Linked DNA regions of Coturnix japonica. The protein of the gene in region 2 interacts with the protein of the main gene of each other region in a biochemical or structural test. Links are inferred from orthologs where the notes say so. Each region holds a gene or a part of one and is shown on either strand. Other genes may lie near its edges.

Region 1 (9,549 bases), on a different chromosome or scaffold from region 2:
AGCGCGCAGGATGTGCACGGGAACCTGCAGCGGGAGACCGGGATGGGCAAAGCGGTGAGCGGGAAACGGCCGGGAGACCGAACCACGGAGCGGGGCTCAGTGCGGGAATGGCGGTGTCTGTTGGGGCTGTCGGTGTCTGTCGGTGCTCCCGGTGTCGGTGCTGACGTGGCTCTGTCCCGCCGTCCAGGCCGTGCTGAAGGCGCTGGAGCAGCTGGCTCAGCAGGGCCGTGTCCGTGAGAAGCCGTACGGCAAACACAAGATTTACTTCGCCGACCAGGTGAGACCCGGCACCGGCCGCGCCCCCCGCCCCCCCCGGCCCCGCTGAGCCCCCCCCGCCCCCAGGAGCAGCTCCCGGCCGCGGGCGATGCGGAGCTTCGTGCGTTGGACGCCGACATCACCGCGCGATCCCGGGAGCTGCAGGAGCTGCTGAACAACTGCCGGCAGCTGGAGGCAGGTGAGCGCCCACACGGCACCGACCGCGGGCGGCCGTGGGCACCGCGGGGACCGGCCGAGCCGGTGATCGGCGCCGCCCTCCAGAGCTGAAGGAGCTGAACGGCACCATGACCACGACGGACATGGCCCGGGAGGTTGAAGAGCTGAGGAAGGACTGCAGCAGTTACACGGAGAAACTGGAGAGGATCAAGTCTGCCACCAACCACGTAACGCCAGAGGAAAAAGAGAAGGTGAAGAGCTGGGGGGGGTTGGGGGAGTGAGGAACGTAGGAACGTACAGCACAGTCTGCATCGAGGCTGCTCAGAGCAACTTGGAATAGCACAAGTTGTCCTTTCCTTGCAAATCTTTGTCCAGTCACTGGGCGCTACCAATCCATCTCCTGGCTTTGAGCTCACAGACACTCAATGCAGTGGCTGCTGGCTGAGTTGTTCTCACTTTGCCTTTCCTTTGACAGGTCTGCAGCGAGCACAAGCTGTACTGCAAGGAGTGGCGGAGGAGGAAGCGGATGGTAATGGTTTCCCCATTGAACGTGAGGTGGGCAGAAATGTCAGTGGCAAACCCACAGTGACAGTGGAGCGGGCACAGTCTTTTATTTGTTCTTGGGGAAACAAAACAAGCTCTTGCATCCCTGTGCAGGGGTTAATGTGGGAACAGCTGTGTTGGCTCCCTGTATGGGAGGCAGTATCCCACAGCTGTGGCAGAAAGCTCAGCATCAGTCCTGCAAATCTCATCTAACTTCTCTGTCCTGCCAGGCAACCGAGCTGCTCGATGCCATCCTGGAGGGATACCCCAAAAGCAAGAAGCAATTCTTTGTAAGTCCCCCTGCTTCTGCTTGTGTCCCAGGGCAGCTGCGCCTGCTGTGTCAGAGGGCAGCCGTCTGCTACAGGAGCACTTTGTCCTCGTGCAGGAGGAGGTTGGAATAGAAACTGATGAGGAGCACAATGTTACACTCCCAGCAGCTCTGTGAGGTGCAGGTGGATCTCATTGCTTTACAGAGAACACATGGTGGTGGATCCAATGCTGAAACTCAGTTGTTGGGTTTTAGGTTCGTTTTCTTCTGTAATTTTTTTCCAGGGCTTGTGCTTGTTCTGCACTTTTATATATTTTTGTTTAAAAGTGCTTTGCCCCTGGAAGGGAAGTTCAGAGCAATTGACTCAGCAGTGGACCCTCTCCATTTTGGTTGGGCTTCTTCACTAGGCAGTGACTGGGAGGGTGTAAGAGCACTGGGTTACAGGGATGGTGTGTTGATAAGAACAGGAAGGAAGCACCTCACGGAGGTGAAGGAACGAATTACCATTATGGCCCATATTTCTGTAAACTCCATACATGGAGGGAGCTGCTTCCCACAGTATGTACAGAGTTGTACACAACCCCACGATTCATTAAACACCATCCTTCTGTTCCAGATGTGCTCTGCTGTGGTGTCTTCTGTGTTGAGAGGGTAGCAGGGCTGGCCTTGGACGTGGTCCGTGAGCCACAGCTGCAGTGGGTGCAGCCCTTACCTGATCCCATTAAAGTCTCCAGGCACACAGCACCAGAAATAAAAGCAGAAGAGCCATTAAAACATTCAGCAAAATTTATTTAATCATTTTCCATAATAGAAAAATATGTCACTTTCACATATGAGGTCTGTAAAAATCCGCATCTTCCTCTCAAGGCAAGAGGTTGCATCTAAAGGAAATTAAGCTGTGCCCTGTACGTGTCATCAGTTGTGTGCGACACCACAGGGTCTGACTCCTACTGGGCTTCTATTGTATTATATCCAAAAGGTCACAGGGTTTGGAAAAACAATTTCATCTAAAAATCAACCCCACCAAAAAGCTTTTCTTCATTTAAGTCAAACAGAAGCAACAGCTTCAACCATCTCCAGCTGCAGCATTCAAAAATCAAGCAACCCGGAGCTGAGAAACTTAGCATTACCTCATCTACAGTGGAAAAACAACATAAAATAAATAGTTGCTACTGTTGGAGTGGTAGCAAGAACACGACTAGAGAACAAGTCCTGCTGTATGTGTCAATGCCATGGAGGGTGATGCTGTCCAATGCCATCATTGTGCTTGGTTTGCTGATTCACACTGACAGCAGCAGCGTGTGGCAAGTGAGACACTGCAAAACTGGCATTGATTACACTTTACAATGATTTCAGTGATCTATAAAATAAAATCAAGGCTGGTTACATGTATATAAATATATATACCCACATAAAATCATGGTGCTAAGGAACAGCAGTGTGAACTCAGAGTAATGCTGTGCTGCAGCTACTGAACTTTCCTGTTCAGTGTGGCCACATCACAACCCAGAAAAAGATAAAGCCAGGCCCAATTCAGCACTCATCAGAACAAGGAGGAAAAGGCTGCAATGAAAGTTCACTCCTTTCCCATTCAGGGGTGTTACTGAAGAGTCAGCACAGCGAGGCCCCAGGGCACTCCTTCAGCACAGAGCTCGCTTGCTGCTCCATGTAATGAGCATTGCCCTGGCAGTGACATGCTAATAAACCTGCCCTCAGTTCTCCCGGGCCTTCTCCAAAGCAGCTACAGAAATTAAAAGCAGACTCTTGCTTTTCTAAGAGCTGCTTCAGAGGGAGGTATTGAAAACCTGCAGCTGCAGAATAACCCTATTCCTGAGCTGCATTAGCACAGCAACAGCTTTTAGCACTCTCCTATTTCTCCCTGCTCCCAGGTTCAATAGGGTTTATATCAGGTGTGAGGTTACAGAGCAGATTCACCTGCTGAGCTGCAGCCCTGAAATCAGTGGCACAGATAAACCCAACTGCAACCACCTGCCTGAGCTAAAGACACTGGCAACTTAAAAGATCTATATTCAATACACACTTATTTCTTTCCCTTCACTAAGTCCTTAGCAGTATTTGGTAACGTTGACTGTGACAGTACCTGTTTGCACAGCTTTGGTTTGGTTTTGTAGTGACAATAAATAATCGAAGAAGCTTTAAGGACCAGCACAAGGGAGATGGTCCAGCCTCTCCTGGCAGCTGTCACCCGGTCGGGAGGTGCTCCAGCGAGGGATGCTCAGTACAGCTGACTCTTCACCTGGTGCAGGACCCCGATGACAATGTCCCGTAGGGTCTGGGGCAGAGAGGAGACACAGTCAGTTGTTCAGGGGAGGAAAAGCCTTTCCCATGCTCAATGCTACAGACAGCACCTGGTGCCACAGATCTCAGCACCTGTATGGGAAACGATCGCCTGTCTGTGTTCTCAGGCTGCAGGGCTCCAGGCAGCCACAGCACAACAAGGACCTGGCCCTGCCCATGCAGCTCATTCTCTTCCCTCCTAACTTCTAAGTGTCTTATGGAACAAAGTGCTGGGGAACAAGCACCCTCTTTGTAAGCTCTGTTTTTCAGTGTCTGAATTTCACTGCCAAGCAGCTGGGAAATGAGAGGAACCCAAGCTCCCATGCCCCAGGTCCAGTGTCAGCCACATTCTGCCTTTCTGAAGGCCCAGGCGAAAGAAAAGCTGCACACAGGCCTACACTCCAGACAGGTGCAGCCATACACAACAGCCTCTGCTCTTATATCAACCCCCCTGTGTCTGCTGTACTCACATGGGGCTTACAGTGCTCCTCAATCCAGCTGAAGACACATGCTGACAGCTCTTGAAAACTCGTGACTGAGATGGAGGCATTAAAGGACTCAAAGAGGGAATCCATAATGCCTTGGAAAACGTTGAATTTCACCTGGTCAGAGACCTGGTCCTTCCCCTCACTCGGGTTGTCCTGGTGAGCTTTTACGATCTGCTCATAGTTCCTGAAACACCAAGTTTGGGGCTCAGTGCTATCGAAGCCTCGTACTGCACAGCAGCTGGGCGACAGCGGGGGCAGAAGCTGCTGCCAGTAACTGGACACTGAAAACAGCTTCAGAACTGGAGGCAATTTGGTACGACCCCAGGTGCCAGACTGCACACAGAGCACTGAGCACATCGGGGGAGCTTTGCAGGGACATGGGGAAAAACAGCAGGAAGAAGGGGGCAGCAACCAAATAACTTCTTACTTACACTTTCATTATCTTCAAGGCCATCACGTCTTTCCTGAGAGTAGAAACTTCCTCTTCTTGCTTCTTCTTTTCCTTGTGCAGGAACTGAATGTAATCAATGGCTGAACACAAAAACACAGAGTAAGCAGCACATGGGGCCCCTCTGACCTCCCTGAGGTCGGTCCCCGAGGCACCATCACACACAATCACCACATTGAGGTGCCTGAGGGTCGGATCGTGCCCTGCTGCCTCCTGCACACACTCACTCTTCTGCAGGATGACGGCCTTGCTCAGCTTCTGGGAGCCGATGGCGAAGTCCTGCTGCTGGCAGGTGGGCACGATGGCCTGCAGGTCGTCGTAGCCTTTCTGCAGGGGCAGAGGGAGCAGAACAGGCACAAACGGCAGCGGTTACACGGACCCACAGCCCAGCTCCCACCACGCGGCCAAAGCGGCTCCAGCCACACGCGGCTCATGGAGCGGATCCAGCACGGGACGAGGGGCTGGAACGCGGCGCGGCGCCCACCGACCTTGATGGCATCGCGCCGCTTCTGCTCCGCCTGCGTGTGCGCCCGGCGCCGCTGGTCCTTGTAGGACTCCTTGTAAAACTCCTGCGGGTAATCGCTGTCCTCGTCGTCTGCGGACACAGCGGCGCTGAGCGCGGGTCGGGACGGGCCCCCCCGGACGCCGCCGTCCCCGGTTGCCCCGCGCCCGCCCCGCTCCAGCCCGGTGCCCCCGTTCGTACCGGTGTTGGGCACGGACGAGGCGCTGGTGGATCCGATGCTGTTGGCGCGGGACACGACGCTGCCCTTCCTGTCCGTACCGAGCGCTGCGGGACAGCGGGAGCCGCTCAGCGGAGCCGCCCCATCCGCCACCCGCCATCGAACCGCCCCCCCCGGCACCTACCGGGCTCCGGGACATTGTCCCCGTACGCGGCGTCCACCTGCGGGCGGAGGGCGGCGGTCACGGGGCGGATGGTGGCGCTCCGGGCCTCGGCCCCACGGTCCGACCGCCGCCCCGTTACCTTCCCCCACGCTTCCTCCGCCGCGGCACCGGGCGGCTCCGCCATCTTCCCCCGCCCCGGTCACGTGGGAGCCGCGGGGGACGCCGGGAAGCGCCGCCCTCCCGACCGCGAGGGGGCGCCACGTGGGGACAACGGGAACAACGGGAACAACGGGACCAACGGGACACAAACAGCACGGACACCGGGAAACTGCGACCGCCCTTTAACCGCCGCTCGGCTGCGGGATCACGGCGCGGAACCGGCAGCGCCCGCCGTGCCGAGCACGGGCCGTACCCGCCCGGTCGGGGCCGCGGCGCTTCCGGTCCGTCCCGGCGCGTTGTGCGGCTCCGTTCGCTCCGTTCGCTCCGTTCGCTCCCGGTCCCGGCTCCTCTCGGTCCCGTTGCGGTTCAGCTGCTCGTTGCGGTGGCCGCGCGGTGGATGCGGCGCTGCAGCAGCTCCCACGCCTTCTCCACCTGACAACGGGCACCGTCAGCAGCTTCGTGCGGGGCTCGGCGCCGTTACACCGGCCCGTTACAGCGGCCCGTTCTCACCTGTTTGTGGGTGACGTCGGGCTCCCACGCGGTGCTCAGCACAACATGCGCCTCCCGCACCCGCTGCCCGTCGCTCATCTGACTCCGCAGCCGGTCACGCGCCGCCTCCTCGCTCAGCCCGTCCCGGCTCACGATGCGTTTCAGCGCCTGCGGGACCAGCACGGGACGGGGGGTCACGGCGATCACGGGGGTCACGGCGATCACGGGGATCACGGCGATCACGGGGGTCACGGGGATCACGGGGGTCACGGGGGGTCACGGGGATCACGGGGCGGCCGAGGGGAGTCACCCACCTCGTCCTCGGGGATGATGGCCGCCCACACCTCGTGCACCATCTCCTGCCATCCGGCCTCCAGCAGCACGGCGGCATCCAGCACCATCACGGCTTTTCCTACGGAACGAGGCCGTTCCTGGTCACCGGGCGGACACAGGCAGCGCCGGCAGCGCCCACTACAATCAGAGCCACCCGGTACCTTGAGCTCCTGCCTCCCTGATCTGCTCCCTGACCATCCGCGCGATCTCCGGCCACACGATGTCTGTGAGGTTCTTCAGCCGCTCCTGGAAAGGAACCGCAGCGGAGTCAGGGTCCTCCCAGAGGTTGGTCCACGAGGGGGCCACAGCTGGAGGAGCAACAGCAGCTGCTGCCTGGATGTGGATCCTGCACAGCCGCTGATTTACTGTGTGCTACTGCACAGGGACGTGGCATCAGCTCAAAGGGCTGGAAATCAAAGCGCCAGCACAGAGTTCTCTGCTCATGAGGTTAAATATTGACATTCCCTGTGCTGCTCGTACCTGGTTTCCAAACACTTTTGCCCCGAGGATCTTCCTGTTGATCGTCCCGTCTTTGTTCAAGATTTCTGCAAGACAGAGGGAGGTGATTTGGGAGCAGAAAGAATCCAACTCACCTGCACAGCGTGTCCCGGCACAGCGCCGGTGCCGCAGCACACCCAGCCCCACCTGCCCCAAACGCAGCCACCACTTGCCCGTGGGCCGGGCTGCCGGGCAGGTACACAGCGTGGCCCAGTGCATCAGCATCGATGATGAACGCTCCCATCTGCCCCAGGCGGCGGGCGATCGAGGTCTTCCCGCTCCCGCTGCCCCCGGTCAGACCGATGATGTAGGGGCGGGGGGGCAGCGTGGGGCTGTCCTGGGGAAGGAAGGGTCAGACGGGCGGTGGTCCCGCAGCTCCCAGCCCCCGGCAGCTCCCCCTACCCGTGGGGGCCGCAGCAACGTGCCGAGCAGCCGCTGTCGCAGGCTGGAGGAGCTGATCTTCTCCTCCTCACTGAGGCTGTGTTGGGGATCCTCCATCAGCTCGATCTCAAAGAGCTCCAGTGCGGCGAGGCCCTGCCGGGAGGGGACACCACTGAGCCCCCCAGATGTAACCACGGGGCCCAGAGGTCTCAGATCCTCCAGTTACGTTCTCGATCCTCTTCTTGTTCACGGCCTCCCCTCCCTTGCGTGTCTCCTCGCTGACCACGATGCAGCGCAGCTCCGGGTCGGTGATTGCGGGGCCGTAGGGGTCGCCCAGAGGCACGATGTCGTACAGCACCGAGGGCTGCACATCTGCCAGGAACTCCCGCAGTTTGGCCACCCGCAGCTCGTAGGGCTCGATCAGCTCCCGCAGGACTTTGTCTGCAGCAGCACCGCGACGGAACAGTGAGAGCAGCAGAGCAAACGGTTCTATGGTAGGAACCCTCCAGCAGTGCCCCACCACCATCCTGCCCACAGGGCCCTGGACTGTGCAGGACAGCAGCTGCAGGACCTGGGCTGTCCCTGTGATCAGTGCCCGCCACCGGTGCTGACCCACATCCCTCCTGCCAGCAGCCCCCGAGCGCTCTGAGCTACCCGGACACTGTCCCATACCCCGGCCCAGGGGCGGCCCTCAGCCCCCACCGCCGTCCCGTCCCGTTCCCCGCTGCCCCCCGGCCCCGCTTCCCGCAGCACTCACGGCGCAGCAGTTCCCCGTCGGCCACCCCGACCAGCAGCCTCCGCCGTGCCAGCAGGCAGCAGGCGCTGAGCAGCAGCCGGTGGGCGCCGTGCAGCCGATCGAAGGTGCCGCCGACCACCACGTCGGAGTAGACGGGCAGCTCCGCGCCGGGGCCGTCGTGCGGCGCCTCGGGTCCGTCCGAGCCGCTGAGCAGCACCGCGGGCAGCTCGGCCGGGCAGCCGTAGGCGGCGGCGGCCAATTCCCGCAGCGCCACCCGGACCGGCCCCGCGTCGCCGGCTCCGCCGTCCGCGAGCAGCACGCGGGGCGGCCGCGCCAGCCGGTGTCCGTGGCCCAGCAGGACCCGCACGTCCAGCTCCCGGTGCGACGCCGCCGCCGCGTAGAGCGCGGACAAAGCGCGGAGCAGAGCGGGGGCGCGCGGGGGGGCGGCGGGGCGCGGCGCGGGGCCGTCCAGGCGCAGCCCCGGCTGCAGGTGCACGTAGAGCGGCCCCGTCACCAGCCCCGCCGCCTCCGCCAGCGCCGCCGCCGCCCGACGCGGCAACGAGCCCAGCGGGGCCGTCAGCACCAACAGCCCCGACGGGAACGGCGCCATCGCCCCGCCGGAAGATCGCACCGACCCCGGACGCGTCACGGTCCCGCCCCCCGCCCCGCCCCCGCCGGGCTCCGCGGCCTGGAGCTGCGCGGCAACGTGGGGGCTGCGGGCGGGGGGAGGATCGCGGGGCGCCGCGACCGGTAGCGCCCGTTCAACGGCTCCGATACTATCCCCCCCCCCCCCCAGCTCCGGTGCCGCCCCCCCGTGCACAATCCCCCGTCCCTCACAAAGAGGCCGAACCGGAGCCGCGGACACGGGGTTTTATTGCCGGGCCGTCCCGGGGCCGCGCTCACGGCTGCTCCTCGGCGGCTTCACCGGGGCCGAAGACGAAGTCGTGCATGGCCCGCACGTAGTCGGTGCCGTCGGGTCCGCCGGGTCTCAGCCGCGACAGCGGGGCCGGGATCCGCGCGGCGACGCAGCGCAGGGGCGGTACCGGGGCGGCGATGGCGTCCACGAACACCTGCAGCGGCACCGCTCAGCGCTCAGCGCCCGCCCCGCAGCCCCGCAGCCCCGCAGCCCCGCAGCCCCGCCGACCTGCAGCACGTCGTCCACCCGCTGCGCGCTGTGCGGGAGCAGCCGCGCGAGGTGCCGCAGGTACCGCCGGTACAACCGCTGCGTCTCGGCGTCCAGCGCCCGCAGCTCGGGCCCGTCCGGGTCGGCGCGTCGCGCGTTGTCCATGAAGTCGGTTCGCACGGGGCCGCACTCCACCAGCGTCACGCTGCGGGAAAGCGGCCCCCGCTGCGCTCACGCCCCATCGCGGGCCCCGCACCTCACCCCGCACCTCACCCCACACCGCACCCCACGGCGCTCACTGGACGTTGAAGGGCTGCAGAACGATGGCCAGGCTCTCGCACAGCCCCTCCAGCGCGAACTTGCTGGCGCAGTACACGGCGTTGAAGGGCAGCCCTGGGGCAGAGCAGCGTTTGAAGCCGCGTCTCTCCCCACCTTGCAGCCCACCTTGCAGCCCCCGCCCACCTTGCAGCCCCCCGACGCTGCTGGACACGAGGATGCGCCCGGCCCGGC
Region 2 (9,889 bases):
TTCAGTTTCTCTGTAAATTTAGAACACCTTTCTGGCACTGCAGAAATTCCTGCCCATCAGCTCAGTGGAGCTACACAGCCCCGTTACACCTCCCCACCTCTTCCTACCTTGCAGCAGCTGTGGGTACCCCTTTGTTTAAGGCTCAGGGATACACAGACAGATGAGCAGCTGCTGCACCATCAGCCCTGCCTTCCAACGTGGAAGAGTAAAAAACAAGAACGATTCAGTGAATTACAAAAGGAGTACGTGGAAAACCCTGAGTAAAGCTGAGAAATTGGGATTTTTTGGCTTTAATTCCTCTTGCCATTCAGAGGAAAGAAAGAAAAACAGGTAACCAAAATGCTGATTTCTGCTGCCAAATTCTACTCCGCTCAAAGCCCACCATAGTCACGCAATACAAAATCCTCATAAAAAGGAATTCCAGATCTCGCAGTTCAGCCAAGATCTTGGCAACCTGAGGATACACTAACTCCCCATTTCCCTATTTCGACAACCCAACAAAAATGATGGTTATGAAATCCGTGTTGTATTTATGCCAGAAAATAAGATCTGTTTACTACTTGGGAACACAGGACAAGAAAACTACAACCCAACATGCAGATGGATTGGTAAATCACAAGATGATATCAACGGCATGGTTTTTATAAATGCAATTACTGCGGACCACACCTCTGCAATGCACCCCACACAGCAAAAAAAAAACCAACCAACAGCACAAGCCACCAAGAGCAGCAGGCATGGAGCCGGGTGGGGAAAAAAGGGTTGTTCCTGCATCTAAATCTGTCTTCGGAATTCATCATTTCTTCCCAGGCTTTGGAAGCACTGAAGACACCAAAACCTTAATTTTAATTAAGACCTTTTCACACAACCGCTATTAAATATTTGCTTTGGCAAAACAAATACAGCTCTGAAATGAGCACAGCTCAGCAATCTTTCTGCAAACCTTCCTGAGGCTCAAGGTTGTCGCGGTGCAACTTACCAGTTACTTAAATAGAGCTTAAAAGCTTGCGACTATATCAAGCACTCGACTTAAGCAAGGTAATAGGCTCAGTAACACTGTCCTGATTCACATTGTGTTCTGAACATAGCACACCTTACCCACCAGCGCTCATAACACGGCAATTCAATTCAAGTTAGGATTAATTTATGAGGTGAGCACAACTGTTGCCACAAGTAGCATATAAAAATGCACAGATAAATTCTGGAAGCGTTTTATCTCCAACCTGCTGGCACCATTGCCAGGAACTTCCCAAAGCACTCACTCATGGCACGTGGAAATGTGCTTTAGAAAGAAGTCAATCCGAAATGTCAGTCCAGCATCAAAGGGAATGTTTTTGGCTTACATCTACGTAAAGCAATGGGGTCAGATTGCTGAAGAGGAGAGATGAGATCTAGAAACGACCTGGCAAGCTTCTCCAAAGCAAACTGATGCCACGGCTCCCACACCTCACACTCATGTTACGTGTAACTTTAACAAGCAGGATCCAGAAGGTTTTAAACAAGTACCTAATGCCAGCACTAACACTCTTACCTAAAACACAACACCTGGCGCGCTCCTTAAGCTCTCATTAGAAGGTGAGAGGGTTCTGAGGCTACTTAATAATAAACAAGCCCACAAAGTCATTTTCATTTACCCTATCATGTCCTACCGCCAAGTAAGATTGACATCAGCTGGCATAATTACGCGTAACAGAAGTTTAAAAAGAAAGCCACCCACATTAAAGAACAACTCACGCTCACTAATTCCTAAAATAAGGCTCGTGCTTTGTTTACACCATGTACGTGACCACACACAGCTGGCTGCCCTGTTCCCTCAGTTGCATGGATCCTCTGCACTTCTACACGCCTGTTTCAGATTTGGGATCTCACACTGCATGTTCCCAAAGCAGAGCTTTCCACAGGGAATGCTGCCACTCCCATATTATTCCAGCCCAATCGGGCCATTAATGGCTTGCAGCGTCCTTTCTAACAGCACATTTTTTTCCACCTCACAAAAGCCTTCAGCCTGGACACTACAAGGAGCTGGACATTATTCTGCTGCTGAAAACAACACTTAGAAAAATACTTCTGTCCAAAACCCAAGAAAAAGAATCAACCAACTCACATTACAACGTGCTATAATCAAAACATCTCGGAATATAGCTCAGTTTGGGGAAAGTTATTTTTGGGTGATGTAAATATTTGGATAAGTTTAATGTTCCTAAAGGGTTTCAGTAAATTAAGGATCAGGATTACATTTCATTTGATGTAATTCTGCGTAATAACCCTTACGGGCCACACAATTACCAGCACAGCTTCTGACTGTGAGAAGGAACAATAGCAATAGCAAAGGTCGTTTCCATTTTGGAAAGCATATTTTTTAAATCTTTCTACATAAAGTGGCCTACCCACCTTATACTAGCTGCAGTTACTTGTGCTGCTTACACACACAAAGACACACGAGGTCACATTGTTTTACAGCACTGAGATGAAAGGGCTGGAAGAGATAAACCAGGGCTCTTCTACCTCCACCAGCACGGTACGGTTACCACAATCAATCTCATGAAAAAACCTGGTGACACTTAGATAAAGCACAGCCCGCGTGACACCTGCGGGAAACTGCAGCGTTTATAAGTAACTTATTGATTTAGAAGATTGTTTTAATCTCGGAGCTGTACAGCCAGGCGTGCTCTGGCCATGCTTTCCTCTGTGAAACGGCTCATCTGAAACGAGGTTCTTCTGCCCGTGCAGATGGATACGTGACTGAGACACACAGGATGAGAATCAAAATCAGGTTAGTCTGCACTGCTTGAAGGCATGAGGGAATCGTTTCCATCATGGTCAGAAACAGCTTCTTTTTTAATCATAAAGAAGTGTGGCAGCTGCTTAACAGAACAAAGCTATTTAAGACATATACATACATATATATATATATGTACACAGCACAATTAGAAGAGGCCAGGCTATGCTACACATCCCCAAGTGAATGTGATTCAGCATAAATCTGACCATCTCAAATGTAAACCATCCTGACCTGGTAATCTAGAAAAACTTCCTTTGCTAGTTCATCAGCAGGACTGATAGATAACACAATTTAGTGCTTCTTTTTAAGACTTTAAACACTGAGATATCAGCAATGGGCGTCAAGTGTAAATAAATATTGCACACTCAGCTCTGTTACATCAGTTTCCTTGTTTCTGTACTTAATGCAGCTATCAACCTGCTCCAGAAACACAACTTGCTGGCTCAGGCCCTTCCTTGCTGGGTCTGCAACAGCCATGATGCCAAAAGACACCTCTGCACCTTTCTGCTGTGGGGTTGTTCTCTTGTTTTTCCTCTAGTACGGGTTTCCATGCAGTAGAAACAGCATGATATCTGTGTTTTTTGTCAGCATCAGATAAATGACACAGCAAAGGTGACAATAAAACCACCCCCAAGCCAACCAGAGCCCCTCAGACCAACACGAAGCACAAGAGGCACTTGCTGCTCCCCCTGAGTGCCATGTGCCCCAAGGAGAGCACAGGCCAAGGCAGCCAGCCTCAGCCTACAGGTGTAATAGAGGCCGGTGAGGAGATGCACAGAAGCTGTGTCATTTGTGATACTTTTGGTTCCTCCACATATTCCTCTCAGGCAGAACAGTTGATTTTTAGTGTCACAATTGTATTTTGTTCTGTAAACACTAGAATGTTACAAGCCTCTTCACATCAGTAACCAATAACCTGCTGGTACAAATCACCCAAGCGAGGATACGTGCAGCTCTGTTTTCTCACTAAAGGTACCAAATGGACGGTTCTATTCTTTCCTCTTTGCTGAGCAATATTTCAAAATCAATAAATTCTAAAGCCAGAAGAAGAGCCCAAGTAAAATGGCACAGAATAAAGATACCTGGGGTGGGCAAAGTTCAGCTCCAGTTAATATGGCTCCTATCAACGAAGACCAGTATTACTGCTGATAACACTCAGGGGAGTTTTCCATCATCCCATCTAATCAACTTCCAGAATATGCTTAATATTGAACATCAGAGCGGATCCCGCTTCTGATCTATCGCGTGGAACAAAAGGTTCGTGCAGACACACATCTTTCCCAACACTTCTGATCCATCGCTCTGCCTCCATTTTGGAAGGCAGACAAAGGGCCTAAATGTGGATGTAACATCCGAATAAACTGATGGAAAGCAAAACCAAAGTCAGAAAAGCGCGAGGCGACGATAAACCCAGGAAGTGCAGCGCTCAGCTGCAGCCACCGGAACAAAGGAAACAATGACAGACTCTACTTTTTTAAGGCAGTTGTAGGAAGAAAACGGGACAAAAAGCTCCGAGCTCAGTCCCCGTGTCACAGGGACACACACACGCTGCTCGGGCTGGAGGCGGCTGCTCGCACCAAAGCTGGCAGCGATGCTGCGCGTCGCGCCCATGGCCACGATCCCACAGCGGGACGGATCCATGTGCCGGGCTCAGCGCTGTCCCCGCACGGCACGAAGCGCCTCAGCACCGTGGCCTAAGCGCAGCAAGGAGCTCCAACTTCTCGTGCAGAAGCGGCAGCCCCGCACAGCTCCGTACAGCTCCGTACAGCTCCGTACAGCCCCGTACAGCTCCGTACAGCCCCGTACAGCCCCGTACAGCTCCGTACAGCCCCGCCCGCCCCCGGCGCTGCCCCGGCCCCGCGCCCTCGGGCCCCTCGCCCCTCCCCGCTCCCTCGGGGCTTTCCCCGCGCCGCTGACTCACGAGCCCCGGCGCCGCTCGGCCCCACGCCCGGTACCTGTAGGCCAGGGACATGCACTCGAACAGCTTCGTAAGGGACGCATCGATGCTCAGCCTCCCCCCGGCGCCGCCGCCCCCTCGGGCCGGCCCGAACTGGTATGTCTGGCAGGTCTGCTCGTTGACCGTGTCGAAGTCGTAGCCCTTCTTGGGAGGGTGCTCGCTGTGAGGCGACGACACCATGAAGTGACCCGAGTGGATGATCTGGGGGCCCGGGGGCTGCCCCCTCCGCGGCCCGCACCGCCGCCCTCCTCCCGGCGAAGCGCCGCCGTCGTCGGTGTCGGACGAGTCCTCATCGGGCTCCGTGCGGGGGGACAGCGGCCCCGCCGCGCCCAGGAGCTGCGCCGGCCGCATGAACACGTCGGCGGCCATGGCCCCGCTGCCGCCGCCGGCCCCGAGCCCAGCCCAGCCCAGCCCGCCGCCCGCTCTGCGCCGCCACCGCCCCGCTCCGCCTCGGACCGGCCCCCAGCTCCGCCCCGCCGCCAGGAGCCGGAGACACAGACACAGCTCCGCCCTCACGGGCCGCCCCTCCTCGTTCCCGCCCCTCCTCGTTCCCGCCCCTCCTCGTTCCCGCCCCTCCTCGTTCCCGCCCCTCCTCGTTCCCGCCCGGGCCGCGCTCCCCGCTCAGCGCTGCGCCCGACAGCGCCGTCCCGCAGCGGCGGGGCGAGTTCCAGCCGGGTTCTCCCTCACGGTTGGTCGTTGTGCAGTGAGGGCCGGGCCGCCTCGTGTCCTCACACACACACACGTTGGCCCTGAGCCGCAGCCGTCACCGTGTCCTTTCCCCTCGCAGCCCCACAGGCACAAACGTGGCCGAGGAAGGTGGTGACTCCACATCCCACGGTCCCGCTGTTGTTCCCCGCTCGGTTTAACACCCAGCGCGGTGCTGCCAGGGCACAGCACAAGGTCACGAGGCGGCACGTGGGGAGAAAAGTGGCCTTGAGCAGAAAAGCGGAACCGCTTGTGGCTGTAATAGTGCTGAGCAGAACCAGGAGTGAGCTGCGTGTCTGTGGCAATGCTCTGCCTCACAATAACGGCCCTAAGCTCAGCTGAGTGCAGCAGTTCCCCCACACAAAGAGGAGGCATCGCTGCCATGAGGGCTCCAGCCGTGACAAGTCTTTAAAACCAAGTCTGACGTCCAGAGACATTTGTGGTGCTTAAAAATATACCGGCAGCACACATCACAGCCCTCAATGGTAAGAGATTATCTTCCTAAATGGCACAGACTGCGAGATAAGCCTTCCCATTGTGGTAGCTGTTTTTCACCCAGGGCAGCAGATTGAAGCGGTTCAATGGGAGGATCCCACAAACACCCCAGTAAAAGAAAGGGAGGTACCAAAAAGGAGCAGCAGCTGCTCACAGCTCACCCTCCCCACAGGATACTTTGGGACACAGCACATAGAATGCTGAGAATAAGCAGGACAATAAGCAGGACAATAAGCAGGACACTTCACGTCCACCCTGAATGCAAAGAATCCATCCAAAACTCTGAGGAATTTATATCCTTGCCAGCATCAGACTCAAATACGCTTCCCAGCTGCAGCACGTCTTCACACTGCGCCCTCTGCTCCAGTTTAAGTTCCCACCAGACATTAGCTGAGCACCTTAAACTTTACATTACTAAGTTTTTCTGCAGGCTGCTGTAATTTCATTGCCTGTATTCATTTGATGCTGTTGTATTACCCAACCGGTCAGTGCCCTGCTAACACACCAAGGCAACCTCTGCTCAAACCAAACAAATCATTTCACATGAGACACCGCCATAGAGTGTGTGTTTCCAAAGACTGTGAAAACGGGCATTTATTTTTAACTTAAAAAACAAGCTGAGGTTAAATTTCTCGCTTAAAAATCACTCACAAAGCATTCTGTGTTGTGATTGTTTTGTTTTTAATTATTTTATTTTGGAAATGAAACCATTGTACATTGTACAAACCATAACTACCGATGGAATAAATAAGTGAAAAATTATACTGCTGTACAACACGCACACACACAAATCATAAGATGGAAAACGATTAGGTACTGAAGGAAACAAAACTCTTTACACCTCCTAACAGGCCCTTAGATAGAAAGAACATCCCAAAACATGACCATGTAACTGTATGAAGATAGCCACCCAAACCCAATATTTTATACTGCCGTGTGGATTTTTTTGTTGTTTTCTAAGTGCCAGCACTTTCTTTTTTTTTTTCTTTTTTTCTTTTTTTTAAATTTTTTTTTGGAATGTTTAACAACTGCTTTCCCAAGCATAAAAATTCCAAGGAATAGTTCTGCTATAAAATGTTTGGCTGAGTAAATCACTTATTTGGAAGGCCTTCCCACACGTTCTACAAACTCAGCTAATTTACTTGCTTTGCTTCTAGTTTCTTTCGTTTTTTTAATATATATATATATATTTTCATGTTTTGTAACTGAAGCCCCAACATTCAGCACTGTAGCAAGGAAGCACTTGTTGAAATCTGCCCTGTTTCTGGAACATCAGCTGTATGAGAACTGTCAGCCATCTTGAAGAAAATCACATCTCTCCTCCTGCTCCACGTCTCAATGCTTTCAATGAAACCTTTTACAGTGAGTTCATCAAACAAGTTTCTGGTAGAGACAGGTCCAAACCGAAAAAAAAAGAACCAAAAAACCCAAACAAAACCAAAATAAACAACTGGATTTCGATCTGGTTTCAAACCTCAGACTGGTTTGAATGCGATGTTCTGGTTTGGTCCCATCTGTACTTTCTGGCATTAAAATGTGTTCAATCACATCCGTTGGCCCATAAATGTTATCAGGCACTTCACTAAGACTAATAACAGTCTTATACACTATTTTGGATTTCTTCATACCAGGTAATGCCAAAGTCTCTTCTCCCAGAGAATGACAATAACTGATCTAAGGAACCCAAAGCTATCTGCTTGTTCAGCTGTCTGTTGTTGCTAGAATCTCTGGTTAAAAATAAAAGTTCTGAATGTATCCTGTGTAAGCTGTAAATGAAACGTTACTATTTTAGAAATAAAGCCTCTAGGAATAGAATTATGATGCCTTGTCTTGTAAGCCCCAGAACAATGAGCAGTTCCGAGCAGAAGCCGCAGGAGAGAAAAGGAAGCTTATAATTAAACCTGTCGATGTCAATAATGCCAATAAATGCTTCTATCTAATGAAAAATTTGAGGTATTTTTAGTGCTATTTATATATTTTATTTCTTCCTAAAGTACAGGAATTAGTTCCTAAACAAAAAAGCTATTTATTCCCTTGGAAACCTCTACAAAATTAGAATTAAAAACTTGCTGCGATGCACCTGGAGATAGGGATTAGTAAAAACGACTGCTTGTCAAAGGTGGCATCAGATTTGTTTTGCTTTAGCATTAAGGATAATAATAATACAAAAAAAACCCACAAACCAACGGTAAAGCAAAAATATTTCCAAAGTTTGAATCTTTCTAAATTTGACCATTTCATATATCAATAGAACTTCTCACAAAATATCACTTAAATCTGAATGTAATATACATACAAATCAATCAGCATTGACCAGTTATCCACATTTTAGGCATACATACAAGTCACGAGAGAATTCCACCATTTCATTGCATAATGTTGTGCAAACATAATTTCTGGCTCCTCATTTCCTTATTTTCAGAACATTAAATGGACTTCGTGATCAGACCAGAAATCCCAAAGCCTTATTAGGGAGCACGCTTCTATCACAGGCTGTTTTGCAATCAAATTTTATTCGGTTAAAATCCAAAAAGTTTATTTCAACACAAAGGAAAAGCTGTGAAATTGAGTGTTGTGTGCTGTTTGGAGGTGAATCCTACAAACATCCTATGGAATGCCAGTTCTGGCTCCCCCAGCTGCCCTCCCTCTACTCCCTCCCCCAAGTTCCCCATTGTTTTTCATAATAAAGTGGTAATTGCGGACGCAATCCAGTAGTCTAAGTGCAAGCCATTTTCACTATTGGAGAATTCAGAAATAAATAAGCTTGATGAAGAGCTAATTATGAAAATGTATCAACTGGAAGCGATTATTTTATTTATTTTTTTCCTTTAAAAAAGTATTTACAGTTCTTAACTTACAAACTATATGCAACCATTTTCATAGCTGTGAGATCATAGTTTAAATTACAAGCTCCACCTCTCACACACACAAAGTGAAGACAGACTAAGGGCCTGATCCAGCAATACACGTGTGCGCACGTGCACATGCACATGTGTGTGTGTAAAGAGAATTAAGTGAGAAATAAGTGGTTCCCACTGACACTGAGTTCTAACTGGGCACTCAACCTGAAAGATCAGGCCCCAAAGACGACGCCTTTGCAGATGGTTCTGCACTTCTAAACGCCGCTGATTCGAAGGGAGTTGCACACGCTTAGTGCTTTTCAATTAAGTTCAGCATAAGCACAGTTTGACATAATTGTAAAAGAAGGAACATTTCCATCAATGATGCACAGACGACAGAAACAACAAGGCTTATTTACAAGACTTGCTGAAAGGAAAAAGAAAAATCCCAAAACCAGTATTAACTTGGAACACAGAAGTAAACATACAGAAATATACAGTGAAATCCAGTTCAGTGAAAATCTCATATCAAAACAGTCCAATTGAAAATAAATTCATTGTGCATCAATCCCTTTGATCCTATTTATATACATAGTGGAACTCTTCTGTAAAGCAAGTTGTACCCAGTACAGAGATCTGGACCTAATACCTAAGTATTTTAACTGTTGTGTTACATTATATATTCAGATCTGGACTATAAATGGTAAACAGATCATGTTAACTTCTGATGAAGTTAAGTATTTAGAAGACCAAATTTACAGTTGCGAATGCCATGCATTCAATAAAAGATCTCCACTATAGCTGCTAAAATAACATATCAAGCTCTTTTCTCTCCTTGGACTCCAAGAGTGAAAATGGCTTCCTGATCGGTATCTGTTAAAATTTAAGCACCAGGGATTTAAGAATTACAAATAAAATAAAACAACCCCTCCCTAACCCTCCAAAAAAAGAAAAGAAAAAACAAAACAAAACAAAAAATAAACCAAAAAGCCTTTCTACATGGCATTATACAAACATAGGTCACTTTGCAAAGGAGACAGTTGCAAAACAACTTTTAAAAGTTAAAAGTTAGCACTGTTTTCAGAACACAAGGCACAAAACAAAAGCAGA

What was found. The genes of interacting proteins can lie anywhere in the genome.
Region 1: the proteins of MLXIP (region 2) and MLX form a complex in vitro, tested with the Homo sapiens proteins (2 studies listed by BioGRID, with this or other methods). The link is inferred for Coturnix japonica from reciprocal best matches to the Homo sapiens genes MLXIP and MLX.

Annotation. Positions count from the first base shown.
Region 1 is NC_029542.1:4,575,244-4,584,792, reverse strand, and holds MLX (max-like protein X), read right to left. Parts: upstream 5,621-9,549; 5' UTR 5,505-5,620; coding exon 5,460-5,504; intron 5,379-5,459; coding exon 5,342-5,378; intron 5,265-5,341; coding exon 5,181-5,264; intron 5,073-5,180; coding exon 4,966-5,072; intron 4,805-4,965; coding exon 4,705-4,804; intron 4,561-4,704; coding exon 4,461-4,560; intron 4,214-4,460; coding exon 4,012-4,213; intron 3,537-4,011; coding exon 3,480-3,536; 3' UTR 2,012-3,479; downstream 1-2,011. Other genes in the region: PSMC3IP (homologous-pairing protein 2 homolog), read left to right, coding at 1-54, 188-277, 343-454, 538-683, 908-961, 1,206-1,265, 1,361-1,420; bifunctional coenzyme A synthase-like, read right to left, coding at 5,662-5,934, 5,990-6,136, 6,283-6,380, 6,463-6,547, 6,782-6,846, 6,947-7,136, 7,202-7,333, 7,407-7,621 and 1 more; estradiol 17-beta-dehydrogenase 1-like, read right to left, coding at 8,816-8,986, 9,061-9,244, 9,339-9,432, 9,502-9,549. UniProt on the Homo sapiens protein: Transcription regulator. Forms a sequence-specific DNA-binding protein complex with MAD1, MAD4, MNT, WBSCR14 and MLXIP which recognizes the core sequence 5'-CACGTG-3'. The TCFL4-MAD1, TCFL4-MAD4, TCFL4-WBSCR14 complexes are transcriptional repressors.
Region 2 is NC_029530.1:4,925,595-4,935,483, reverse strand, and holds the start of MLXIP (MLX-interacting protein), read right to left. Parts: upstream 5,147-9,889; 5' UTR 5,109-5,146; coding exon 4,738-5,108; intron 1-4,737. UniProt on the Homo sapiens protein: Binds DNA as a heterodimer with MLX and activates transcription. Binds to the canonical E box sequence 5'-CACGTG-3'. Plays a role in transcriptional activation of glycolytic target genes. Involved in glucose-responsive gene regulation.